7 linked regions of the Mus musculus genome follow. The protein of the gene in region 7 purifies or fractionates together with the protein of the main gene of each other region. This does not show direct contact. Links are inferred from orthologs where the notes say so. Each region holds a gene or a part of one and is shown on either strand. Other genes may lie near its edges.

Region 1 (3,500 bases), on a different chromosome or scaffold from region 7:
CTTATACTAAAAAGTCAATGCTATTTAAGACATTCATGGAACCTAATTCCACAAACAAAGAGTACCATTTTATTAATATTTTAAAAATACTCACTTTATTAATTTTCTCTTTGGGATGAGTGAGGAGTGCTGGGAAGTGTGAGAGAGCATCACAGTTTAAAACTACTTGTGTTTGCTCATCAGTTCCAGTGACAATGTTGCCCACAGCTCGCAGTGCAGCAGTCTGAAACACGAGATGCAACGAGATGTTTGATATTAAGAACTCTTATCAACCAGTGTCAGGCAACCCGGGACAGATTCAGTCACTCATGAAGTTCTTTCACTGCAACTAACCTATCCTTTCTGAGCACTGTATTTCAGGTACTGATCTAGAAACAGCAGAAATAGGAAATATATACAATTTCAGGCCTTAAGGAGCTTAAGTTATTTCAACAGAACTGGCATCAATAAAAGGGTAATTTTATATAATAATTACTATCATAAAGAAATACTATTCAGCTATTAAAAACAAGGACATCATGAAATTTGAAGGAAAACGTATGAAATTAGAAAATATCATCCCGAGTGAGGTAACCCAGACCCAGCAAGACATGTGTGCTATGCACTCATTAATAACTGGATATTAGGCATAATGTATAGAATAGCCACAGACCCAAAGAAACTAAGTAATAAGGGGGACCACCCAAGGAAGGATTGATGACTCTCACTCAGAAGAGGAAACAAAATAGTCATCATCAGGTGGGTGGAGGAGACAACTGGATGGAAGGAGGAATGTTGACAGAGGATCAGGTGTATGGAGAGAGAGAGTCAAAGACCTAAGATGGGGGAGGCTTTAGGGAGACTATGAGGGAGACTCTAAGCAGTGGGGATGAGGAGCCTCAAGTAGTCACCTCCTATACTTTATCCACTGTGCCATCTTTCAAGTACTTTTTAAATTTTAGGTAAATGTATCTTCATTGTTAACCATACACTAGTATCACTTTAAGAGCTATCTTAAGTTTGTAGGGAATATCTAGGAGGTAAAGAAGGGAAAGAAAAAACATTTTTTTTTCTTCACCTTTAAGCTTTAAGTTTGATTCTAAGGTCCAGAAAAGGGCAAGAGAAAGTAACTTAGAATAACAGCTTTCCTTATAGAACTGCTTGGTTGACTTCAGATCGTTCTAAGATTAAAAACCATTATTTACCTTAAAAAGGTAGGGAAGGTTTTCTGATTCTACTTTACCACTGCAGTTAACTATCACTGTGTGTGTGTGTGTGTGTGTGTGTGTGTGTGTGTGTGTTATAGTAGAGCCTGAACTTTGTACAAGTGAGGCAAGTGCTGTACAACTGAGCTATATCCTCAGCTAATTTTTTTTTAGCTTTTTATAGATGGAGGCTCACTAAAATAAAGCATATGTAAGAGGATTAAAACATAGAGAAACAATTAGGAAGTCCTTAAACTGCATATCAGTTTAAATACTTTATCTCAGCTAAGTATCAGACAAATATCAGTAAGTCAGTGTTAACCAAATTGCTAGATGAGGAAAAATAGATGCTTTCACGGGAGTGGGAGGGCGGAGTGGAAAAAGCAAACAGGAATGGTTTTAGATGCCACCCAAGGTGCTATATTAAACCATGTTTCTTGGTATTAAAAATCAGTTCTTCACAGTAGTGTCTCCTGTCTGGCAGGGAAGGGCCGTTCTTAATGAATTGCAGTAATTTCTCTCCACCTTTAAAACTAAGATAAAGTAACTCACCTTTTCCCATCAAAGACACGTTACATCTTTAAGTGAATAATATGCTTTAATTTTTTAAAAAACTTAATCTTTGAATGTCCTGCTTAAAGCATGGTGAGAAAAACCCAACTTAATCAAAATAAACCTACCTGAACTTTAACTTCCTGGTGGCTGAGTAGCGGAACCAAGTGAGGAACTATGCCAGAGTCTATTACCATCTGTATCTGTTCATTGCCAGCATCCGTAAGGTAAGACAGGGCCCAGACAGTATCTACCAGGATCTAATATGTAAAAGAAAAGTTCAAATATTCAATATTTTCTCATTTTAATATCTCTTTTTGATTTTTCTTGCTGGGGGTTGGGGGTTAGGATTTTGAAACAGGGTTTCTCTGTGTGCAGCTCTAGTTGTGTGGAACTTGCTCTGTAGACCAGGCTGGCCCCAAACTTAGAGAGGCATCTGCCTTGCCTTCTGAATGCTGGGATTAAAAGACGTGCACCACCACACTCGGCTATTTTAATAATTCTTAACCATAATGTAAGATTTTCTCTTCTTGCTTCAACTCACTAGAACATCAATCTCTATTTTGTAACTTTAAGATGTGTAATTATAGTCCAAATTCTATATCAGTCTCTAATCTTAATTCAGCAAACTACACATGCAAATTACACAGCATAATAAATAGAAAACCAACCAACCAACCAACCAACCACAGAAAAAAATCAATGCAAGACATATATAAAAATATTAATTCCTGAAAAAGATAATTAATTTGTATCACTACTACTATGGGGAAGAGAGGCTTTTTGATTAATTTATAATAATGATGACACTTTGACACATGCAAGTCATGTGTTTGATCCTTCATTGTATTTTAAACCCAACTTCAAACTATGGCCAAAGAACAGTAGGATAAAAAGACAGTTAAAATGTGATATATAAAGAACACAATTGTTTACGAAAAACTCCCTCAGGAATAACAACTCTATCTGGGACTCCAAACCCTTTGAACTCTGTAACAAAAAGCAGAAGTTTAAAACCTTTCCAATTCCTAACCAATACTAAGACAATCAGGATACCGCCGAAGGGGGAGACAGCACAACCACAGGTCCTTTAGAAATTTAAGCAAGCAGTTGATCATGGTGGTGCCTGCCTGTAACTGCTCTCAGGAAACCTTCCTCAGTATACACTGAACAGGGCCAGGGCAGAGGCAGTCCAGAAAAGATACACACAAACATATTGCCTTTTCCTCAAAGAAAAAGAAGCCAGCGAACAGCAAACTATGGTGGGTGCACAAGGTAGCTTTAGGAAAAAGGATTTTGACAGAGGACAGGCTGGGCCATATACTAAGACCCTGTCTTGATAAGCAAAACCCAACACCAGTGAAAGAATTTTTACAAAGTGGTATCAACATATGTAAAACAATTACATCTCAATTTACAAATAAGGATCTTTGTCTAGAGTTTCATCATAGCCTAAAATTTGTTGACAAAGGCAAAAAATGTAAGTTACTTGCTCCTGATTCTATATAAAAACTTGATACATTCTATGATGGTCCAATGTTAAATAAGCTGTTAACATATCCTGATTGAAATTCTTCAAATCCAATTAGAATTCTTACATATTTGTAACTACATATAACTACAATGTAATTTCTCCTTTTAAGTCTTTGAGGGCTGATTTAAGAGTGAATTTCTAACTAATATAACATATAGCAAATATTATTTAGTAAATGATATAGTATTTGTGGAAGATAGTCCTTAAAAGAAAAATTCAAACAAAAAAAT
Region 2 (4,213 bases), on a different chromosome or scaffold from region 7:
GGCAGACAGGTGTGGGTGACCTGACGGAAGAAGAACAGGTACCTTTGTCTTTACGACTACAGCCCCGCACTCAGGTTGTACTATGGCGGTTCTGAGAAGGCTTCACAGAAGTGAATCTTCCGGAAGGAGCTCAAGGAGGGGAGGGATGTAGCTTGCTGGATGGGGGTTCACAAGAGGTTGGTCCAGATGTGTGGGGCAGCATGAGAGGTGGCAGAATGGAAGAGAGAGACAAAGGGGCAAATGCAAAGTATCCTCAGCCAAGGGGGGGGGGGCAGCCCAGATTCCTACAGGGAGAGGTGCCAGCCCCAAACTCCACACGCCCCACAGGCATCCAGGGCCCAGTCCCAGACTCACCATCCAAAGGGACACCATTGTACTGTTTCATAGCCTTCAGGGCATCTGCTTTCCGTTCAAAGTGCACATCTGCTGTCCCTAAACTTCGTCCAGAGCGATCATAGTGCACAGCAGCTTTTTTCAATGTCCCAAATTCAGCAAAGAGTTCCTGGGAAGGGGTAAAAATTAGCAATTAAGCCAATTTCCTTCTTGTAGCTCAGCAACACTTGCTGTAAGTCCTTATGCTTTAGAGGTACTTGACTGACAGCCACCCAGGAAGAAGGCAAGGCAGTGGAGATTAAGAGCTGAGGGAAGGGGAGACAGCAACTGTCGCGAACAACTGGGTTACTGTCCACTGTGGGACAATGTAATTACACCATGCTGTAGATGAGGGAAGACACAAAGTCCTATCACAGGACAAAACTACAAAACTCTCTCTCAGCAGGGGTACTTTCAACTTGACTAACTGCGTTTCACTAAATACCAGAGGCCAATAGTAAAACTGTCCATTGAGCAGACAACGCAAAGGGCCCAGTATTTTGGGGAACTGTGACACAGCCCCTACTGCAAAGGCAGGTTCTAGCTCACCTTCCCCTTTCCTCCTACTGCCTGCTGCTGCCAAGTCTGAAGTGAAATGCAGCATGGAACCTGTCCTGGCTGGGAGTTGGAGAGGGAACCCACAGAGTAAGGCACTTCAGCTGCAGGCACACAGTGGGGAGTACAGCTAGCTAAAGCAGTTTCCAGTGGATGCCAGAAACCACCTTTAAAAAAAAGTGTTGAGACAGGCTGGAGAGATGGTTCAGGGGTTAAGAACACTGGCTGCTCTCTTTCAGAGGACCTGAGTTCAATTCCCAGCAACCAATGTGACTCACAACTATCTATAATGGGATCTGATGCCCTCTTCAGGTGTCTCTGAAGAGAGTGACACTGTACTCAAATCCATAAAAATAAATAAATAAATCTTAAAAAAAAAAGAAGTGTTGAGACACTGTGAGTGCTCACCAGCCTTGTTCTTTTCTCCCATGGGGAGGTCAAACAGCTGGGCTCTGGGGAACGGTACCCAGAAAGGCCCAGCACACCTGACTCAGTTCTGGCTATATCAAAGCTAATTCCCAAAATTATGCCTTGTAACCAGAGAACTCTAAATGCCTCTGAGGTCCAGTTTATAAAGAAATTTAAAAAGACACAAAATCCAAGAAGGGAGGGGAAGAGAAAAAAAATATTTCGAAGGCATGGAGAACCATGACCCAGGTAAGACCCAGGAAAGATCGCCAGTTAAGATCCAGCACAGAGACGCAGGCTGGAAGATACTCTCAGCCACCTTTCTCAGCATCTGGGAGATGCTGGACTTCCTTCTCCTATCAGTTCACCATATCGAGCATAAATCTGAGAAGCAAGCACCTTTCGGTCATGCTGGGACCGGAGTTGTGGCCAGTCTGTGCAGGTTAGAAACTGTAAGCTCTGGCACAGGGCAGGCGCTCACAGTTTGGACAGCAGACAGGACTCATTTTTAGGGGGGCGCGCGCACACACACACATACACACACAGTGTGTGACATCTTCCTGCAGCCTGGCTTATGGGGTCGTGCTCAAACCCTACTTTTTCTGAGGCCAAGGCTCTCAGGGTGACAGTGGCTGGCTCTGGGCAGCCTAGGGGAGGGCAGGTTCCAATCTGTAAAGGATCCTGGAGCCCACGTCCGCGTGGGACGAGGAAAGCGGAGAGCTCCCGTCTCCTACCTGAATATCAGCATCTGACACTCCGAAGTCCAGGTTGGACACCAGCAGCTTCCCGCCGGTCTCCACGCCGGCTCCACCCCCGAAGCCGCTGTCGAAGAGGTCGTGCTGCCATTTGTCGGGAAGTTGTTTCGGCTGGAGAGAAACCGTAAGCACAGAGACACTCGTGAGACTCGTCCCGGGAGCCCGCGACACCTCGGCGACGCTCTCCCGTCGGCCCCGCGGCCAAGGTCGAGGAGCCCCGAGAGTCCCCCAGCCCCGCCGCTCCGCTACGGACACCCAAGTTCTCTCGCAGCGGCCCCCGCCGCCACGAGGCTGGACCACGACCGGACAAAGCGTCCCGGAAGATCCTGGCCTCGGGACGGCCTCGCCCCCGCCCACCCCTCGGCCGCGGTCCCGCGCGGGACGCTCACCCGGTCCCGGCCGGCCCGGGCGCACCCTCCCCGGCCCGCGCCGCAGGTCCCCGCACTCACTCTGCTGTACGGCGCCGGCCGGTTCCTGCCGCCGCCTGCGGCGCCGCGGGCGATGGCGGGCCGGTTCCTCATAGGCCCGCCGCCTCGATTCACCCGCGCGGCGGCCTGCACTGCGCCGCCGCGGCCGCCCTGGGAGCCGGCCCTGCCGCGACCCCGGCCCCCGCCGCGGCCTCCTCGCTGGCTCCGGTTCAGCTTAATGATGTCGTCCAAAGACATGTCCATTTTGTCGGCCATGGCGGGCGCGGATTCGGGCCTCGGATCGAGCCCGCGCGTCAGCACGCCGCGGCGTCACTTCCGGCGCCTCCCCCTGCCTTCCGGCGTCGCGGGCCCGAAGCGAGCGGCGATTGGTCTGGGCGCGCGCGATTCCGCAGAGCGCCTGCGTACGGCTCGCCGCGGTGGCTGGCGCTACTTCGGAGGAGCCCGACGCGGCGCGGTCGTTTTTATACATTCCCGCGCGGAGGCAACGGAAGGGCGGGGCGCCTCGTGATTAGGCCGCGGAGGTGCGAGGGCGAGCAGGGGGCGGGGCCTGCGGGCGCCTCCCTGGGAGGCCGGAAGATCCTCGGGCGTCGCCTGGGTGCAGCGCAGTGTGCGCGTCCCGCGTCCCTCCTCACCGTGCGATCGTGGGGGTCCCGGCCGGTCCGTGGGTCCGACTTGGTTGTTTTTGCTCGAAGGCTCGGTCTCCTGACGAGCTGGCGTCCTCACCCCTGCTTTAACTTCGCGGATTAGTGACAGTCACTCTTTCCATATCTTTAAAAGCGAGGCCCTGGTTAGTGAAAACCAATGTTTTGCGTGGATGCGGAGGTTTTGTTTTTGTTTTTTTGTTTGTTTTCGTTTCCTGTTTGGCTGATCTGCTTCTGCCCCGGGATTAGAGGCGTGTGCCACCGTGCCAGACTACATGAGTGCAGATCTTTAAAGGCATCCTTAAAGGTGGCAAAATAAACTCGTGCCATTAATCCCACAGGCTCTCCTTGCCGTCTTTAAAGACAAACACGTGCCTTTTTCTTTCTTTTTGGTCGGGACGCACGGAATTTTGGAAGATGCCGTTCTTGACGAGTGCAGCACTTGCCGCAGCTCCATGACTTTGAGCTTAGGTGCTTTCGTATTCCGTACTAACTCCAGGTCATCCTCTTCCCTCAGGTCACAGGCTCTGTTGTCATGAAGGTGAAAATTAAATGTTGGAATGGTGTGGCCACTTGGCTCTGGGTAGCCAATGATGAGAACTGCGGCATCTGCAGGATGGCGTTTAATGGCTGCTGTCCAGACTGTAAGTGTCTTCCTATGCGCTCTCAGAACTTTAGCCTACTCCACCAGCCTAAAAATCCCTAGGTTTCCCAGCACTGGGTAGGCAGAGACTGGAGGATCTCTGAGTTTGAGTTTAGCCTGGTCAACAGGACAAGTTACCTAACCCTAACCGAAACCCCACCGGACAGTGGTGTTGCACGCCTTTAATCCCAGCACTCTGGAGGCAGAGGCAAGTGAATCTCTGAGTTCAAGGCCAGCCTGATCTACAGAGGGAGTTCCAGGACAGCCAGGGCTACACAGAGAAACCCTGTTTTGAAAAAAAAACAAAAAACAAAACAAAACAAAAACAAAAAGCCAAACAGTGCAAGTTCCAGGATAACCAGGGCTACAAAGAAAAGCCCTGACTTGATAAAAGACCAGGTAAAACAAAAA
Region 3 (4,072 bases), on a different chromosome or scaffold from region 7:
ATAATCTGGCCATTTTATCAGACTTTACAAAGAGCTTACAGGTTAAACCCAACTTGTAATACAGTTAACTGGAAGTATAGTATGCTAACATTTTAAAAACTTCTAAACATTATTGAGTATAATGAACAGTTTATAATCCCAGCTTCTCAGTAGGCTGAGACAGGGGAACCTAAGTTCATGGTCTGTGCAAGCTACAGAGCTGCTAAGACCAACCTGGGCCACTTAAGAGAACCCATTTCACAATAAAAAGTTTGAAAAGGTGTGAGTGTATGACATGCCTCAGTAAGAGGACCTGCCTAGCACACATTCTAAGTCCAAAGGTTCAGTCTCCAGTAGCACCAAAATTAAATCAACAAGACCCAGATTTCTATATAGCCATACACAAACAGCTGGTGCTGACTAATGCTGCCCTCCCTTTCTAGTTTACAATCCCACCCCTGCCCAGTCTTTAGTTTATTACCTGGTCTCTGAAGGCATTTAATATACAACTACTGATATATAGAGACACTTAACAGGCAAAACCTACTTGTTTTAATAAGCAATTACTATTCTTTGGGAAATGTTTTTTTTTGGTTTTGTTGTTTTTTTGAGACAGGGTTTCTCTGTGTAACCCTGGCTGTCCTGGAACTCACTTTGTAGACCAGGCTGGCCTCAGAAATCCCTGCCTCTGTCTCCCAAGTGCTGGGATTAAAGGCGTGCACCACCACGCCCAGCTCAAGTTAGGCCAGTCATGGTGGTATAAACCTGAAGTCTAATCCCAGTTTAATTCTGAGTTTAAGGCCAGCCTGGTCTATAGAGGTAATTCCAGTACAGCCAGGGTTAAACAGAGAAACTCTGACTTGAAAACAAAACCAACCGACCACATATATAAGAACCTTTAAAACGAGTTAACACTCTTTTGACTAGATTGACAGCACACATCAGCATGTTCAAGGTCCTAGGTTCGATTCCGAGCTCATGTATTTTTCACGTATTTTTAAAATGTGAGTAAAATGATCTCAACTTATCCTCCTACTTACCCTTTGGGATGGCCACTAAATTTGTCACAGAGTATAGTAACACGGTTGACTGAACCACAGCCATGAAAATGGGCTTCCAGCTCTTCTGCTGTTGCACCATAGTCCACCTAAGGAAAGGAACACTTGACAAGTACTGGGGAAACTCCAATTTGAACACATAACAAAGTAAGGAATAAGAAACAAAAGTCCCCCCCAAAACCCAAAGCAGACTATTCCTTGATACATACATTGCCAACGTAGATAGAGCGGGCATCAGCCTCCATCTTCTCCTCAAGAGACATGATCACTGGGCCAGCTTTTAGAGGGGAAAAAAATTACCTTAGGCAAGCACATCTTCTGCTCGATCAATACACACACACTTCCACCCGCAGGCTAAATTTTGGGTATACTTCTACTATACCAATTACCTATAACAGTGTTTAGCACATAGTAGGTTTCAATATACATTAGAGAAACTACCTCTTAAAAGACCATAAAAAACGGTGTTAAGATTTTACGTTTTTCAAGTCGAGTCTCTATTCAGCTTTAGCTGAAATGCCTCAAAGCAAACAAAACAGAATGGACTGAAATCTAACATTTTTAAAGAACTCCCTCCCTTACAGCCACCAGTCAGTTCCTAAGTCCTAACTAAAGGGTCTCCAACTGAAAAGTGTTAAGACTTGAAGGTCAAATGCCAGCTGATAATCGCCCCAAGAAGGGTACAGACAAACTAAGAACAAAGAGAAACACATTTATAAATGAGACAAAGGAAGGCACAAGACTATCTCTTCACCAAAACGGCTTGTGTCTAACAAAGGTCAGTAGAACACGTAATGGACTATGACCACAGCACCTGCCCAGAAAAAATTGCTCAGACGAGCAGCTTCATTCAAGGTCCCCGGCTTCTGCCACGCTGCAGTCTTCCCCCACTACCCTATCAACCAAAGATCCGGACTGTGCGTGCATGAGGCGATCTACTCACCATTGCCTGGGGGTGGACTCATATTCATCTGCTTCTCTACCTCGTTTTGTAGCTCCTTTAGCTTCTCAGCCTCTTCCTCCATCTCCCTGACTCGAGCTTTGATCGCTTCTAGCTCCTACAATGAATGAGCAGGGCATGCAGTTAACCAGACGCAGGGGCTGTGCCGTACATTTTGTCTGGGCCCGGCCACAGCCGTGCTCGGCCATTTCCCTCGCCTCGTGCGAGGGTCGTGATTGAAATAAAAAATATTATTTAAAAAAAACACGCAGAAAAAATGAAAAGAGTCAATTTACCTTCTCTAGAGCCACCCTAGACACCCATGATGCCCCACCAGGCCGCTCACGAACGGCCTCGGCCCGCCACCAGCCACGTTATTCCCCGCCCAACCCCACCCCCCGCCTGCCTGCCTCCTGTCCGTGCTCTGGGCCTCCCATGACCCGGCCCGCTCGCTCGCCCTCCTCCCCTCACCGGGTCCTCAATGGCGCCGTCGCCGGGGTCGGCCTCAACCAGTCCCGGCTCTTCCTCCTCCTCCTGACTGCCGGGGGCTCCCGAGCCGGGCCCAGGACCCGGAGCTCCCGGAGGGGCGCGGGGCCGGGGCGGCTCCTCTTCGGGCTCGGGCTCCGGCAGCAGCTCCCCAGGCTCCAGCTCCTCAGACTCCAGGCCGTTCCCGTAGTCCCCTGCGCCCCCCGGGTCCCCCTCCCCGGCCTCCCCACCGGCCCCGGGCACAAGATGGCGCCGCCGCCCCGGCCCGGAGCCCCGACCGCCCGCAGCCCCCGCTGCTGCTGCCGCCGCCGCCGCCGCCGCCATCGCCGCTCAGACTGGGGCCCGCCGATCGGCGATTGGAGAACTGAGCCGGCCACGCCGAGGATTCATTAGTCAGTCAGCCTGCCCGTTACCCCGAGCTCGAATACTATTGGGGAATTCTACTTGGCAATCAAACGAGGCCCCACCTCTAAGGCGGGCCACTGTGCCAAATTCTCTAAACCCGGTAGGTGAAATATGCCTGTCAATCAACACACCCCACCTCCTGTTGAGTCCTTAGGTAACAATACGCCCGCACTGTGACGACCTTCCGTTCATCCTCCACCCATGGGCGGGCCCACAACATGGAGGATGCTCCGCAATTGGCCTCTGACTGGTGAGGCGAAAAGGACCAATCTTCCAAACGCCTCACCGAAGTGGCCCATTCTTGGATGCCGATTGGCTTATGGGATTCGACGGGCAGACACCCGTTGTGCGACAGGTGAACCTTGCTCTCGAAAGGATGGCCTGGCTTAAAACTAGGGAATTCCTAGGCGGAGTGTGGTGGCGTACGCCTTTAATACCAGCGCTCAGAAAGCGGAGGCAAGTAGATTTCTGTGAGTTCAAAACTAGACTACTTACAGAATGAGTTCCCAGGCCAGTCAACACTACATAGAAAAGTAACCTCAAAAATAAAAAAAAAGTAAGGATCAGCAAACCTCACTCCCACTAGGAGTTGTGTCCCGTTGTTCTGCATAGGTTATTGTTTTAGACTAAGATTCAGCCAGTTTTCTTGCCTAACTTATTACAACACCCTCTTTTTCTTGGCCAGCTGACGTGTCAAAAATTCCTTACTTAGGGCTAGTTTGCAAGTATGGTCTCCACACTTTCCCCGGTTTACCCGAGGTTCACAGCTTTAGTCCCATATGTGCAGTTTCTCCTAAACCAGACCACCTCAGTGAGAATGCCTTCCACCAGGTTTCCCATTTTATCTTGAGACAAGTGGGCCTATTTCCACTGCACTCTTAACCGTTCTGTGCTCCTTCCTAGCTAAGCAGAGTGCCCGCAGACAAGGGGCCAAGTCCTGTTTATATTTCTATCCGCAAATTTGTGTGATTATTGGGTGACTGCAACTTCTAGGTGTAATTTCCTAGCTTCCAAACCACTTTGAAGACCACTGGGGGAAATTCTCCATGCAAATTCTCAAGACAGCTCTGCACCTTCAAATAACCATGAGATCTGGCCCTGGAGACGATAGTATGATACCCACACTCCAGAAGAAATTCCACACATTTATAAAAATTAAAGAACAGTAGTGCTAAATCTGCAAGAGGACGGACTTTTTGTAGAC
Region 4 (4,227 bases), on a different chromosome or scaffold from region 7:
CCCCCTTTTTGGTTTTTCAAGCCAATGTTTTTCTGTGTAGCTCTGGCTGTCCTGTAACTCATTTTGTAGACCAGACTGGCCTCAAACTCAGAGATCTACCTGCCTCTGCCTCCTAAGTGCTGAGATTAAAGGTGTTCAGCACCCCACCCAGTTGTGATTTTTTTTTTAAATCCTTCAAAGACCAACAAGAGATGGCTCAGCGAATAAAGGCACTTGCCACCAAGTCTGAGGCCTTCAATCTTTCAGAGCCATGTAGAGGAGGAAATTCCTCTACATGTACAACAGGTGCACATAAAAATCCTCCCCCCACATACACAAAAGTAAATAATAAATAAATGCAATTTTAAAAGTTTAAATACCTAAAACTAGAGATGAAGCTTGGGCACAGAAAAAAACCTACCTAGCCTGAGTGTGAAGCTCTAGGATTCAATCCCCAGTCCCTCAGAACTGTTGTTATATAAACATCCCCCTTCCCTTTACAAGCACGCAGGAAAGCAACAGAAGGTACTCACTGTGCTGTCCTTCCCCTTGTTCTTGAACCTGTTAAGTCGGGCAGCTGGTAAGTTAGCATTCTCGTTCGTGGACATGGCTGCAGGAACAAGGAGGAAAGCTAGGAGCCAAGGGAGGGTGAGAAGAAAAAAAAAGAAACAAAGAAAAAGTATTTTTAATAAGAATGCAACAGAAGCTGGGTAGAGTAATACACGCCTTTAATCCTAGCACTTGGGAGGCAGAGACAACCAGATCTCTATCAGTTTGAAGCCAGCCTGGTCTGTAGAGAGTTCCAGGCCAGCTAGGTCTACATAGAGAAACCCTATCTTAAGATGAAACAAACAGAAATATACAATAGCATGTTATAATCAACTAAATCTCAACTCCATTTCTATACTAGATTTAAAAAGCAGCAACGGTGGCACACGCCTTTAATCCCAGCACTTGGGAGGCAGAGGCAGGTGGATTTCTGAGTTCGAGGCCAGCCTGGTCTACAAAGTGAGTTCCAGGACAGGACAGCCAGGGCTATACAGAGAAACCCTGTCTCGAAAAACCAAAAACAAAAACCAAAAAAAAAAAAAAAAAAAACAAAAACAAAGATGACGACACAACACAGCCTGGCAGTGATGGCAAAGCACTCCAAGCACTCAGGAGGCAGAGGTAAAACGGATCTGAGTTTGTGGCCAGTCTAGTATACAGAGTGAATTACAGGACAGCCTGGACTACTCAGGAAACCCTGTCTCAAAAATATATAAATAAAATAAAAACAAAACAAAATCCTACAAGTTTTCATCATTATGGCTATAATACTAAGCCATAATTGCCCCTTACTACAAAGGCAACTTAACTGTCAATCAAAAAAAATTTTAAAAAAAGATAATTTAAAATTTCCACTAACCACAGTGAGCCCCGCAGTGGTGGCGCACTCCTTTAGTCCCAGCACTTGGGAGGCGGGAGGATTTCTGAGTTCGAGGCCAGCCTGGTCCACAGAGTTCCAGGACAGCCAGGGCTACACAGAGAAACCCTGCCTCGAAAAAACAAAAAGAAAGGAAGGAAGGAAGGAAATTAATTTTAAGACTTTTACCCAATATAGCTAAACTATTACCATTTGAGGATGTCATCAATACAGAAAAATTGAGATGTCTTACTGTTTTTATACACCTTCAAAATCCAATGGGTAGTTTAAGCACACGGGGCATCTCAACAGATTAGCGGCTTTTCAAACACTCAATAGTCTTAAGCCTCTAGCCAGCACGGTATTAAGTCAAGGATCTAAATTCTAGGCTCCATTAGTTAATAGAACACCAAGTAGGAGAACAATCTACGTCCTTTGTTTGTTTTATTTTTCGAGACAGGGTTTCTGTGTGTATCCCTGGCTGTCCTCGAACTCAAATCGGCCTGCCTCTGCCTCCCAAGTGCTGGGATTAAAGGCGTGCGCCAACAATGCCTGGCAACCATCTACGTCCTTAAGGCAATAAACGCAGCTCTCGTTTTCTGTTGATCGATGGCCAAAACGGATCCATACTAGTACCCTCTTGCAAGTTACATAAAGAATCGGTTCGTTCCATTATAGGGCCTTCCATCACATCATCGCTGTCAGCAATGGCATTAACGCCGCATCTTGCACACACTTCCAGAGAATGCATTCAGCCGGGATGACATCAGCTGTGATCAGTGGGGCTCGATAGAACCCAGGTGTGGTCGTCGCGAAGGGACAGGAACCCAAAGTACCCTGGTAAGCTAGTAGGTTTAACTGCTTTATGTCCGTCCTCGACCCTGACCCAGGTGATCCGGGTCAAGGGCTTAACTGGGGTGTCTTAACTGCCACCTTCATCCCCTGCCCAAAGCTGCGTCTCCTCCCCGGGGCAGAAGCATCAGGAAAGCGGCGGCACAGCCAGGTAGGTCCGCTCGACTGCGGCTGCCCTCCGGTCCCTCCACGCCGACCCGAGCCGCTCCCAGGCCTTCGCTGCCCTCCGCAGCGCCCGGCGTTGCCAACCCTGACCCCGGCGTGGCGAAACCAACCCGCCCCGAGGCCTGGTCGGAGCAGGGAGGCTCAGCTCCGGCCCGGGCGCGGCCTGCTCCCGCCCTCCGCCCCGCAGCCTTCCGTCCGGCCGTTACTGCTCAGGACCGGCTTCCGTTCCTACCTGTACAGCCGGCTCAGATTTCCACGAAAGGTGGTGCAGGACACTCAAGCTGCGGGTCGGCGGCTGTGGAAACGTCTGCTACCCTTCAGCCCTCAGATTTTGTGCCTCGTGCTGCCGGCCGGCGCGATTTAAATTTCCCGGTGACGCCGCGTTCCGATTGGCTGATTTGAGCCTAAGCTGCGCGTTCATTGGTAGGTTTGAAAAACACGTTAGGCGGGGGTGGGGGTGGGACGCAGACGCAGGTCGTAGGGGAAAAAAAAAAAAAAAGGTGGGGGTGGGGCGGTAAGCAGGGAAGCGTCGCGAGATGAGGGAGCGGCCGGGCAATCCCAGGGTGCCTTGCAGAAGGGTGACTCCAGATCTCAGCACACAGCATGGAGACCTGCGTTTCGTCTATGCTTAGATGGACACTGGGCCGTACCCTGTTTGCTTTCCCTGGGCTTGTCCTTAAACAAACACACGAAATTATTATTACACTTGTAAAAAAAGGCTTAGCTTGCGGTGATTGGCGCAGGCTTTTAATCCCAGCACTAGGAGTTCAAGGCAAACCTGGTTTATACAGCCAGGCCAACCAGGGCTAAATAGTGAGACCCTGTCTCAATCAACCAATCAGTCAATCAATCAATAAAAGAAAAGAGAAATATATTTACTTTAAAAAAATTTTACATCAGGAGCTGGTCACCGGGAGAACGTGGATCTGTGTGCCTCTTAACCATTAGTTGTATCACTATATTGTTTATAGTATTTGTTGATTATTTTATCTTTAGGCAATCATTAGTTGTATCGCTATATTATTGTTTGTGCTATTTACTGGTTATTTAATTTTTATCATGGGGAGTGGGATTGAGGCAGGGTCTCACATTAACAATAGAGCCCAGGCTAGCCTTGAACCTAATGCAATCCTTCCTCAACGTCAGTTCTGGGATTACAGACATGCCCCACTTTGTCCCGTGTGGTAAACTTTTAGATTACTTGGAAAATAAAGACAATGGAAGCCGGGCAGTGGTGGCGCACACCTTTAATCCCAGCATTCAGGAAGCAGAGGCAGGCGGATTTCTGAGTTCGAGGCCAGCATGGTCTACAGAGTGAGTTCCAGGACAGAAGCAAAAAAAAAAAAAAAAAAAGAAAAAGAAAAAGGACAATGGAAGCAGCAAATATGGTAACAATAATTTATTAGCCCGGTGGTGGTGGCGCACACCTTTAATCCCAGCACTTGGGAGGCAGAGGCAGGCGGATTTCTGAGTTCTCTGAGTTCGAAGCCAGCCTGGTCTACAGAGTAAGTTCCTGGACAGCCAGGGCTACACAGAGAAACCCTGTCTCGAAAAACAAAAACAAAAAACCAATAACTTATTAATACCTATTTTCTCCAAACCTTTAAAATTTTTTATTTATTTCTTTATTTTGCTCCCTTCCCCCAAACACACACACACACACACACACACACACACTTAATGGGTTTCTCTGTGTCTCTGTAGACCTGACTGAACTCCACAGACCTCAGAGTGCTGGGACTAAAGGCAGTGTGCCACCACTGCCTGCCTTCAAATACTTTAAAACTTGAGTAATTCTGAACACAGAATCACAAACCTTTGCCTAG
Region 5 (3,500 bases), on a different chromosome or scaffold from region 7:
AATCTGAGTTTGAGGCCAGCCTGGTTTCTAACATAATTTCCAGTCCAACTAGTTCTACACAAGAAGACCTATACATACATACATACATACAGTCTCCAAGAAAATACCGCTGAAGGCCCTTTCCTGCTGCTCTCCCTACGCCCATCTCAGAACTTAATCTCTACACCAGTCCACTGTGCCTTCCACCTTCACCTCTCGCCTCACATACCCTGTTCCATGAGACATATACAGCCGATCTAATGCCACCAGAGTGCCATCTTGAGACAGTCAAAGGCCATTTGTAAAGACTTTTCTCTAGAGCTACACTCTTTTCTACTCTCCCAACTCAACAGAATCAATTCTCTCCCCCACCTCTTTTAAAGATAAGAGCTCGATATGTAGCCCTTGGGATTAAAGGCAGGTTAAGCCTTTTTTTCAAGAATTTCTCTGTGTAGTCCTGGATATCCTTGAACTGACTCTAGACCAGATGGGCCTCCAACTCAGAGACTCGCCTGCCTTAGACTCTTGAAGTGCTTGGATTAAAGGCATGTGCCAAAACTAGCACCCGGAGCTCCGTTATGTTATTATTTATATTCATTCCATGTACATCTAAGCAACACGAATGCACCTAGTGCTCAAAAAAGCCAAAGGAGGGTTTCAGGCACCCCTGGAAACCGGAGCTATGTATAGTGGTTATATGCTTTCATATGGATGCTGGGAATGAAACGAGGTCTTCTGCAAGAGCAGCCAAGTGCTCTTAACTAACGAGCCATTTCTCTAGCACTCCCCAAAGAAACTCTTAATGAAATTTCATCCTTATCACGCATGCTATACTGGGATACAAGGGCAGGCACCTGCTGCTCTTGTGTAACACCCAGTACATGGTCCATCCCTAAGGAGAGGGTGGTGGTGAGGACTTGTAGCGTCAGCACATTCAGTTCCCTGCTACAGGAAGGAGCGCAGGGCTGAGCACACCGCATCACTGTACAGCACCAGGGGAAGAGAAGGAGGCCCAGAGCCATCAGTCATGGGTGATAGATAAGGGTCGTCCTTGCACACAAGTGCTCCTATGTCAAACATACATCATTTGGCTCAAAGGGCTGCTCCCCAAACCACCTGAGCTGCGGCCTGGGCACCGCCACTCACCGAGCTGTTCAAGCATCTTGTCACACTCGTCCAAAATAAAGTGTTTAATGTGTTTGAGGTTCAGGCTCTTATTTCGAGCCAGGGCTAGAATTCGGCCAGGAGTCCCCACGACGATGTGTGGGCAGTTCTTCTTCAGCACCTCTTCGTCCTTCTTGATAGACAGACCGCCAAAAAACACTGCCACCTGTCAACCACGAGAAAGGACAATGTTCCAGTCTCCCAGAATTCTCCCCCATCCCTTTGGTTTGAGAGGCCTCACTGTATAGCCCTGGTTGGCCTAGAACTCACTTTGTAGATCAGCCTGTCTGGCACCAAGTACAGATTAAAGGCAGTGGGCCATCTTGCCAATACCAGTGTGTCCATTCTGTGGTTGACTGTAAACCAACTCTTAGCTTTCAGGCCTGCAGTGGCTCCTGTGCCTCCCATAAGAAACAAAGCGACCCCCTCAGCACCAGGGGGCCAAGGGGGATGGAGGAAGGGATGAACACTCAGCTTCTCCGCCTCCACTCAAACTCCACGACAGGATCGCTCTGCACAGCCCTAGCTGATCTACACAACGAGGCACGTGTGACTCCAAAGTCACAGCTTCCTTACACAGATGAAGAAAGCAAGAAGCCACCAGCAAGTGTGAGGCGCCACCCAACGATCAAACCACAAGCAAGCTTTCCTAACTGAACTGTCAGACAGTCTCCCTGGCCTGGAGCCTTTGCTTCCTCGGTGCCTGAGATAAAAGTCACACCATGTGCAACCCACTAGGTGAGTGTGTGAGCTGTGACACCAGGTGAGTGCTGGATGTGTGAGCTGTGACACGTGGACTTGTCCAATTTCAAGGGGAAAGAAATAACCAGGACGCTTACTCTACAGTAAACCTCTTCCTCTTCTCAATCCTGAACCACAATGGCTAACACATGCACACAGGAGCACTCCACTCCTGTTCACGATGGTTTACTGGTATCAGTTAAGCTTTCAGACATAGTTACAAATACTGAGGGAAAAGCGAGCTAAAACTAAGGGAGGGACTAGACAGCCCCCTAGAGGACACTGTGCTGCACAGCCAAGGAGAAGTACAGATGATTCTGATTTTATGATGGGGGGGGGGACCTAACCAGCTAATCTGCAGGCTCCTACACCAAACCCAACCTCAGACTTGATCCCAACTCTCAGAGCATTTTGAGTAGCACAAGGGTGCTGTGGGTCCTGCAGAGAAGGACTGCAGCTTTGCCACCCTCCCTCTTTGTTTTGAGACCTTAGCCCCGGGCAGCCTTCAACTCCAGCAAACGCCCACCTCAACCTCCCAGGCCATGGGAATACAGGAATGAGCCACTGATCCAGCTTCAGTTCCCAACTATTAAATCCACCACAAGGGACCGGTCAGCCAAGGAACTGAAAGTCTATTAGTTTTTTGGCAAGGTATAATGACATACAGCCAGAGGCACAGGCACACAGACATAGACAATGCCTCCAGATTACAAACTATTTTCAAAATCCTAGGAAAAAGATATATAAATACGCTAAAATGTTTCAGAGGCCAGTAAGCTTGCACACAGACAGGTTAGGAAAACAATGTCTAATGCTTGGTTATGCCGAGCAATGGAAACCTCAGAGATCACAAGATCTCTGGCCTCCTTTAGCATTTTGCACATACTGCCTTTCCTTTTCTTCTTCTAGAATTCCCCCTTTTAAATCTGTCATGCTGGGCGGTTGTGGAGATGCTCGCCTTTAATCCCAGTAGAGGCAGAGGAAGGTGGATTTGACTCAAAGGTCAGCCCAGACTGATCCAAGCTGCTCTTTCCCCACCCTAACCAGAATAGGAAGTCTGCACACATCTCTCTACTCACAGGGCCAGCTTACAAGGCCTTTCAAACCCAGCAGGCCACTCACCCAAGCATGGAAATATATAATCTCAAAAGTTCCAAAGGATGCCAACTGTGAGGCCACACCACGTTCCTTCACAGAGGACACAGGCCACTTGTTATGACCCCCGGAAAGCTTTAACCACTCTAGAGTTAAAGTCCACACCAGGGCTGTTTTAAGAGCATCTAGCTTCCTCTTGCCACATACAACCCAACTCTCAAACAATCTACCAAGCAATTCAGGAGAACAGAACAGAGGCTCTGGCCAAGCCAGGTGGCAAAGGCCTGCCCCAACTACTCAGGAACCTGTGGCAGGAGCCTCAGGTTCAAGGCCTCCTATCTCTAGACTAAGGTGAGTTCAAGGCCTACCAGGACAACGTGGTGGTTAAGAGACAGTCGTGAACATAAAAACAAAGGACCCAGGGGTGGCTCAGTCCCACACATAGTAGCTCAAGGCTCTGGAATGGAATCTGCAATACCAAAACCAACTAACCACAAAGTGTTGCGGTGGTATCACCTAAA
Region 6 (3,500 bases), on a different chromosome or scaffold from region 7:
TTTATTTGCCTACTATACTCCAAAGGAAATGATTTCAAATAGCTTTCACTCATGAAGACTAAACATCAGCTATATGAACAAAGGTGAACTAATTGTAGGTAACCAATTACTTAAAATACAAAGATACAAATGATTCCTGTTCCCACTACACAATAAACCCTTTAACTTACCACTCCAAGTGCTGGTCTTTCCAGTTCTCTCTTGCCTTTGACCTTTCTCTCCAGTATAGTAGAGTGAAACAGATCGTCCATCAATTTCTGCCCCCTGCTTTTCTTCCAAATTTTTCTCTGCATCAGCTTCAGACTTAAATTCAATATAAGCAATCCTGAAAGAGTACAAGACAATTCAGTTACTACGTTAGAGAAAATATTACTCAAGCATCAGTCATGAAGGACTTAGTCACATGTGCTTTTACTGTTCTTTTACTATGTATTAGCTCATCTTCATCCTTTAAACTGGTGAGGAGGAAAAAGAGCCAACACAATAGACTGAACTGCCTAGAATCACATTTCTCTCATAAAATAGGGAAGGATAGTACTTGTGGCAAAAGATGCCAATTTGGATTGAGCCTGTAAAATTGATCACAGCTTCAAAACCCATCAGTTGAGCATTTTTAATGTCAGAACTTGGGAGGTAGAGGCCAGAGGACCAGATATTCAATTTTCTGGTTATGAAGTTAAGTTTGAAGCAGCAGACTAGAGACTGTCAAGGACAAGGAGAGGGGAAGAAGACACTAAACTTAATAAAACTTTAACACTCAAAGACACAAAACATACCCTTTACTTTTCCCATCCTGGCTGACTAATCTGATCTCCATGGCGTCTTCAAACACTTCCTTTAATTCATCCTCAGTGATGTTGAAAGAGAGGTTTTTGGCTAGAAGTGTTCTTGCAGCTCGAACTATGTTGGAAAAAGATTTAATTAAGTACATCAATTTACAAGTCACAAGAGAATAAAGCAAATAATTCCTATAAAGTACAAGGATATATGCTAAAAAAAAAAAATGGTATAAAGGGATGGAGAGGTGGCTCAATGGTTACTAACCATTTGCATGAAGAGTACCCATGTTCAATTGTCACCTGATGACTCACAAACCCCTGTCCAGTTTCAGATGAGGCTCTCCTGGCTTCCCTGGACACCAGACTTATCTCCTTCCTACTTGTTTACATGTATATCATGTTCCTTAGACCATATGTATTAAGTTGTATATGGAACAAGTCTATTTAGACTTAGTTTCCATCTCTAAGATACCTCATCACTCATATGGTTCATTCTACATCAAAAGCCTAGATCCAGTAAGCATATAACATAGACTGCAGATTGAGCACACAGCAACCTTGTAAAATGAGCAAAAGGGGACAGAGGATATGTAGCAGTTTTAAGAGTGATTGCCTAGCAGGGCAGTGGTGACTCACGCCTTTAATCCCAGCACTTGGGAGGCAGGCAGATTTCTGAGTTCAAGGCTAGCTTGGTCTCCAGGACAGCCAGGGCTACACAGAAAAACCCTGTCTTGAGAAAAAAACAAACAAAAAAACCCAACAAATTTGCCTAGCATGTGAAAAGCCCACGTTCAATTTTCAGCACAACTAAGAAACAAACACTTAAAATCCAAATTCTGAAACTCAAAATATAGGGATCAAGAATTCATTTAAGAGATACGTAAGCTTCAAGCATGTCACGATACACATGTGGTCAGAGGATAAGCTAAAACTTTTTTTCCGAGACAGGGTTTCTCTGTGTAGCCCTGGATGTCCTGGAACTCACTCTGTAGACCAGGCTGGCCTCGAACTCTGAAATCTGCCTGCCTCTGTCTCCCAAATGCTGGGATTAAAGGTTCTTCTCTCTTCATGTGGCTTCTAGAGATCAAACATTTTGCAGCAAGCATCTTTACTCACTAAGCTATTCCTCCTGTCAGCCCTGACATTATATATCCCAGGAATCAAACCTGTCAACAAGCACATGACCTATGACATCTCATTGGTTCACAATGAGGATGAAACTAAGGAAGAGGCACCAGACTGCCTAAGTCTGTTAGTATCCAGTCACCCAGACCCCCTTACATACCTTTCTTACTATCTCTTCCTTTTGGTTTTTCTAGTTTAATTTCATTGCCAAACACTTTTAAACCAGTGAGCTCCAAGGCCTTTTCTAGGTCTTCAGCAGACTCAAAGTCCACATAACCAAATTTCCTTGAAGATGGAAAAAACAAGATTACAGGTATGAGAAGGTGATCTGCACTTATACCATGTGGCACACACACAGAGCATCTACAGCACTAACAAAAATAAAACTAGATCACCCTTATCTTCCATAAAACCAAGTCCAAAGGCTGGAGAGATGGCTCAGCGGGTAAGCACATTGACTGCTCTTCTGAAGGTCCTGAGTTCAAATCCCAGCAACCACATGGTGGCTCACCACCACCCATAATGAGACCTAATGCCCTCTTCTGATGCATCTTAAGTCAGCTACAGTGTACTTATGTATAACAACAAATAAATCTTTGGGCCAGAGCAAGCAAGGACTGAGAGCAGAGCGAGCTGAGATCCTAAAAATTCAATTCCCAACAACCACATGAAGGCTCAAAACCATCTGGACAGCTACAGTGTGCTCATATACATAAACAAATCTTAAAGAAAAAAAAACAAAAAACAAAACAAGTCCATGTACCAAGACATTACAACAAATTCACCTCGATTTCTTCATTCAGTATATTGTAACTAACAGCAGTAGCTAGCATGGACCCCGCTAAAAGTACAGAGAATACTTTTAGCTAAAAGCATATGACTATGCAGATCCATAGTTGTAGATACTGCACAAAATTTTATGTGTTTAATATCTTTTCTTCTTTAAATTTTATTTTATCTTTATCAAGTCAAACACAGGAACTTCAAATTGCAGGCCCTATGACTCGATGATTTAGTTCAATACTATAGTCTTTCTTACTGCAGCTCCTTAACTGTACTTAAGGCCACGAGAGGAGACAACTGACTTTTACTAACATAGTTAGATATAGCCCCATGTTTAAAGGCAGGGAAGAATACAACTGGAAAGTAAAAATTCTAGCTGATACACATGTAACATTCAATTAAAACTTACCTATTTGTACCAGTTCTGACATCCACAACAGCAAGATCATTTTTAGCAAAAAGTTCACTGATGGCAAATTTTAATTCATTAACAGACTTGTTTGGATTAAGGTTTCCAATGAACAGATTGAAAGGTGTAGTTGGTTCTGAGCCTGCACACACAAAAAATGAACTTTCAGCCCACTTAAGCACACAACAAATTTCATCATAAACTATAAAGCACATCAGCATATTTCATTTCAACCCCATGGTTCAGTATTAAGTCCCTTTGTCACTCATCACTTGTGCTAGTGCTACTCTGATCTGTTTCCCCAGTTTTGCAGGCTTACCTTCTACTTTCTGTTTCTTGGCTTCAGGGGCTTCTTTCTGCTTGGTCATCTCCTTCTTCCGTTTTCCAGGTGCTGCTTTAACAGG
Region 7 (3,500 bases):
AGAATGGCCCAGGCAGAACAGGGCAAATTATAACTCATGGTTACTGACAGGGAAGTAGACAAAATAGTTATACAGGATTGGTATCTGCCCAGCTCTAGTGCTGTTAAGGCTTATTACAAATGTGTCTTTTATCTGGAACTGAATGACTTAAGGCAGCGTAGAAACCCCCGATTAATATTAAATATTTACCACAACAGTTAACAGTTTCTGGGGAAGAAGGGATCTCCTTCAGTTGTGTAGTCACTACTAAGGTGCCCATGTTCCAGTAAATGACTTCCCACAACTGTATGCAAGCAACCCTAATTAAACTCAGTAAGTCACCCATGTGCAAAAAGGACATCAGAGCGGCTAGAATGGGCACAGCAAGAGGAGTGGGGAAGAGATAACGGGGACAATGTGACCAGAATATCTTATATACAAACATGAAACTGTTTTAAAAAACGTTCTAAATGTTCTAATATTTACTCTGTGTGGCCCAATGAATCATTTCGTGTATCAGAATTTTAAAACCACGCACTATAAAACACGGGAAGGAAATGAAGCTTTTAACCAGTAGCCAACATGAGCTGAGCCTAGTCATACAAAGGCTATACTGCTGCTATTATTGAAGACAGACTCAAAGGCAGAGTAGATGCAAACCGGCAAGTACAGAGGCAGCTAAGAACACAAAAAGAGTTACAAACTGTGCTAGAAGCCATGGGAACAAAGAGGATTTAGGAGATAGGATTTAGAGAAAATAGAGACAGAAAAAAGGAAGCAAAGAAAAGCTGAAAATTAATTTCAGATCTCTGGATGGCTTACCCAGTAGACAGTAGCCCGGAATGAGCTTACAGGAGAGGGGTGTAAATAGCAGGAATTTCAGGACTTGCAGTAGTTTTTTCCTTCATTTCAATACTAATTTATAATATATTATAAATTATACACATATAATTTATATATATTATACACACATTCATACATACATATTAAACTTACCAAATATACAGCTTCATTATAGTTATTTGCTTTTAGTGATTCTTTAAGTTGACGAATCATAGCTTCTACAAATTCTCCTCCAAAGTTGTAATTCCTGGCATTCAGCAGTCCAACTAATGTTGTGTAAATTGTTAGCTTCTCAGGTAACAGACGTGCACTGATTTGAGAACCCGTACAAAACAACCCCAAAACAAAGGTTAAATAACTCTGGAACAAAATTTTTTAAACTATGCTTTGAAAATGACTTCTGAAAAGACACAGCATCACTGGGCAGTGTGCAGATACAGATGCCACTGTTTTTCATTATAGTTAATGCAAGAGTTAACACACAGTTACTTGTGAAGTTATCACACCAAAATTACTGCAATTCATGCTAGAGCAGTTTTCCTTCAAGTGTGTGGAGTGGAAGTGAGTAACAACCCCACAGCAGATGGTTTCTATGGTAATCTCTGAAGTGTTCCATGAGATGAGATTCTTTAATGCAGAATCAGTAGGGAACAGAGCATTCAGAGCTTCTACACTTAGCTGGCCAAACACCATGGGACTAGACTTCCTCTTGGAGAAACATTATTGGATTGCTTATACAAAATAAAGAACTAAAATGAGTTTAAATTAAGTTCGTATAAGAAATGCTTAAAGCAGGGCCTGCTAATCAAGTTGAGAACATGCGGAGGACGGGTAGATGGCTGATGGCTGAGAGGGTTACAACTCTTCCTGGCCAACCTGAGTTTGAGAGAACGGATTCTTCCAAGTCTTTCTCTGACCTCCACACATGCTGCAGCACAGTGTACCCACACATGCACACACACACACACGCACACACACACACACGCACGCACACGCGCGTGTACACACACACTAAATGAAGCCTTGAGTCACAGCACAAAGGGAAAGCAAGTCAGTCCTAATGATAAATCTGCGGAGAATCCTCTCACATTGTTTTCTAAGGTATCTTGCTGGGCACAGGGAAGGATGCAGGAGCTCAAAAACTGCTTGTACTGAAAGTACACCATGGTCCCTAAAGCTTTCTCCAAGTACAAAGATTTTAAAGGGCACTGCCAATCAATACCAAGCTCAGCCGTACACAAGTAAGCATGGCTTCTAACAACTTCACCCAGCGTAACAATTCTGTAATACTATCAAAACAGAGGGTATCGTATGGATAAGTATAAATGACTGTTTTCACAGTTTCTTAGTCTAGATATACATTTCTCTGAACTGACTGGATTCTATGCAGACAGAATTTATCTATGGGTCTAGAGAGCCCGACTGTTAAGAGCACCTGTTCTTGCTGAGGACTCAAGTTGGGTTCCCATCACCCACATGGTGGCTCATAACTGCCCATAACTCCAGTTTCAGGGCATCCAATGCCCTCTTCTGACTTCTACAGGCAGAGGAGTAAAATGCCCATATACAAAAAATAAAGCTTTAAAATTAGCCATTATTTTAAAATTCCTGAAATGGTAACTACAGCATCAAGGACAATTATGTCATTAAAAGCTTCTAGAGCATCGTCAGCCCTCAAGAGAGGCCACCCACACACACACACACACACACACACACACACACATCCATACACACCCACACCCACACACCCACACACACACATCCATACACACCCCCACACACACACATCCATACACACCCCCACACACACACATCCATACACACCCACCCACCCACATCCATACACACCCACACCCACACCCACACCCACACACACACACGAGCTAAACTCTACTTTAAACATCTAAATGTGATGCACTCCTTGGTGGGGGAAAAAGGATCTCTAAATAAGATATCCACTTTCTCATCTATTTTCTGAGTTAAAAAATTAACTTCAATTATTTTAAAATTCTAAGAAACAAAACATAAGGAAAACACTTCATTTTAGTCCTATTTATCCCTTTAAAAACTAAGTTCAACAAAGGGCAAAGATGAACATTCCTGAGCACGAGTTTCAGGACTAATTAACATGAGGAAGTCCACCGAACATTCCCCAAGCACACAAGAGTAGATAATACATCATCACCTGGATCCACAAATCGTTTACATACATACACTGTACAAAGGAGCCTTAAGATCTTGCTCTTGTAGTTAGGAAGATCAGCTTCTAAAACACCAGCCAGGCCTTCGAGATTGCTCTCTAAAGAACAGGCACTCTGCAGAAGACATCATCATCATCGGTTAGCGCTCAAGCAATCAGTGAATTAAAACTCTTGGGTGACCATAAAGACAGTAAGGTCTCCCATAAGGCACTGTAATTCCTCAGGGAAGAAACAAGAACCGATGACAATTTCGTGGACAATTCCCTCTGCATCAATCAATCCCATTAGTTACTGTTCTACAAAAAGTCAACGAAATCTTCCAAGCTGGAAGACAGCGTGGGCTGCACTCTGTCTCTCACTAAAGGTGTCAGTCTGCTTCAGGTCAGCTGGAGGAAAGACTATTCCCCAGGTCTGTTTAAGACTTAGCTAATGAAAATTACTTACTGAAAAAACTTAATGATTGGAAGGAATCCCAGG

What was found.
Region 1: the proteins of Ncbp1 (region 7) and Kpna4 purify together in Homo sapiens (co-immunoprecipitation; 3 studies listed by BioGRID and IntAct, with this or other methods). This does not show direct contact. The link is inferred for Mus musculus from reciprocal best matches to the Homo sapiens genes NCBP1 and KPNA4.
Region 2: the proteins of Ncbp1 (region 7) and Alyref purify together in Homo sapiens (affinity purification with western blotting; 6 studies listed by BioGRID and IntAct, with this or other methods). This does not show direct contact. The link is inferred for Mus musculus from reciprocal best matches to the Homo sapiens genes NCBP1 and ALYREF.
Region 3: the proteins of Ncbp1 (region 7) and Pabpn1 purify together in Homo sapiens (co-immunoprecipitation; 3 studies listed by BioGRID and IntAct, with this or other methods). This does not show direct contact. The link is inferred for Mus musculus from reciprocal best matches to the Homo sapiens genes NCBP1 and PABPN1.
Region 4: the proteins of Ncbp1 (region 7) and Kpna2 purify together in Homo sapiens (co-immunoprecipitation; 5 studies listed by BioGRID and IntAct, with this or other methods). This does not show direct contact. The link is inferred for Mus musculus from reciprocal best matches to the Homo sapiens genes NCBP1 and KPNA2.
Region 5: the proteins of Ncbp1 (region 7) and Ddx39b purify together in Homo sapiens (affinity purification with mass spectrometry; 6 studies listed by BioGRID and IntAct, with this or other methods). This does not show direct contact. The link is inferred for Mus musculus from reciprocal best matches to the Homo sapiens genes NCBP1 and DDX39B.
Region 6: the proteins of Ncbp1 (region 7) and Ncl fractionate together in Homo sapiens (co-fractionation; 3 studies listed by BioGRID and IntAct, with this or other methods). This does not show direct contact. The link is inferred for Mus musculus from reciprocal best matches to the Homo sapiens genes NCBP1 and NCL.

Annotation. Positions count from the first base shown.
Region 1 is NC_000069.6:69,085,593-69,089,092, forward strand, and holds part of Kpna4 (importin subunit alpha-3), read right to left. Parts: intron 1,997-3,500; coding exon 1,865-1,996; intron 224-1,864; coding exon 95-223; intron 1-94. UniProt on the Homo sapiens protein: Functions in nuclear protein import as an adapter protein for nuclear receptor KPNB1. Binds specifically and directly to substrates containing either a simple or bipartite NLS motif.
Region 2 is NC_000077.6:120,595,566-120,599,778, forward strand, and holds the start of Alyref (THO complex subunit 4), read right to left. Parts: upstream 2,801-4,213; 5' UTR 2,774-2,800; coding exon 2,540-2,773; intron 2,202-2,539; coding exon 2,070-2,201; intron 503-2,069; coding exon 355-502; intron 156-354; exon of another isoform or gene 43-155; intron 1-42. Other genes in the region: Anapc11 (anaphase-promoting complex subunit 11), read left to right, coding at 3,695-3,803. UniProt on the Homo sapiens protein: Functions as an mRNA export adapter; component of the transcription/export (TREX) complex which is thought to couple mRNA transcription, processing and nuclear export, and specifically associates with spliced mRNA and not with unspliced pre-mRNA.
Region 3 is NC_000080.6:54,892,871-54,896,942, reverse strand, and holds the start of Pabpn1 (polyadenylate-binding protein 2), read right to left. Parts: upstream 2,801-4,072; 5' UTR 2,788-2,800; coding exon 2,449-2,787; intron 2,096-2,448; coding exon 1,981-2,095; intron 1,315-1,980; coding exon 1,247-1,314; intron 1,127-1,246; coding exon 1,020-1,126; intron 1-1,019.
Region 4 is NC_000077.6:106,996,726-107,000,952, forward strand, and holds the start of Kpna2 (importin subunit alpha-1), read right to left. Parts: upstream 2,801-4,227; 5' UTR 2,634-2,800; intron 611-2,633; 5' UTR 588-610; coding exon 513-587; intron 1-512.
Region 5 is NC_000083.6:35,244,746-35,248,245, reverse strand, and holds part of Ddx39b (spliceosome RNA helicase Ddx39b), read right to left. Parts: intron 1,310-3,500; coding exon 1,126-1,309; intron 1,072-1,125; exon of another isoform or gene 996-1,071; intron 1-995. UniProt on the Homo sapiens protein: Involved in nuclear export of spliced and unspliced mRNA. Component of the TREX complex which is thought to couple mRNA transcription, processing and nuclear export, and specifically associates with spliced mRNA and not with unspliced pre-mRNA.
Region 6 is NC_000067.6:86,352,956-86,356,455, forward strand, and holds part of Ncl (nucleolin), read right to left. Parts: coding exon 3,416-3,500; intron 3,373-3,415; exon of another isoform or gene 3,305-3,372; intron 3,239-3,304; coding exon 3,097-3,238; intron 2,190-3,096; coding exon 2,065-2,189; intron 901-2,064; coding exon 777-900; intron 326-776; coding exon 171-325; intron 1-170. UniProt on the Homo sapiens protein: Nucleolin is the major nucleolar protein of growing eukaryotic cells. It is found associated with intranucleolar chromatin and pre-ribosomal particles. It induces chromatin decondensation by binding to histone H1.
Region 7 is NC_000070.6:46,145,011-46,148,510, reverse strand, and holds part of Ncbp1 (nuclear cap-binding protein subunit 1), read right to left. Parts: intron 3,138-3,500; coding exon 3,037-3,137; exon of another isoform or gene 3,008-3,036; intron 1,133-3,007; coding exon 976-1,132; intron 1-975. UniProt on the Homo sapiens protein: Component of the cap-binding complex (CBC), which binds cotranscriptionally to the 5'-cap of pre-mRNAs and is involved in various processes such as pre-mRNA splicing, translation regulation, nonsense-mediated mRNA decay, RNA-mediated gene silencing (RNAi) by microRNAs (miRNAs) and mRNA export.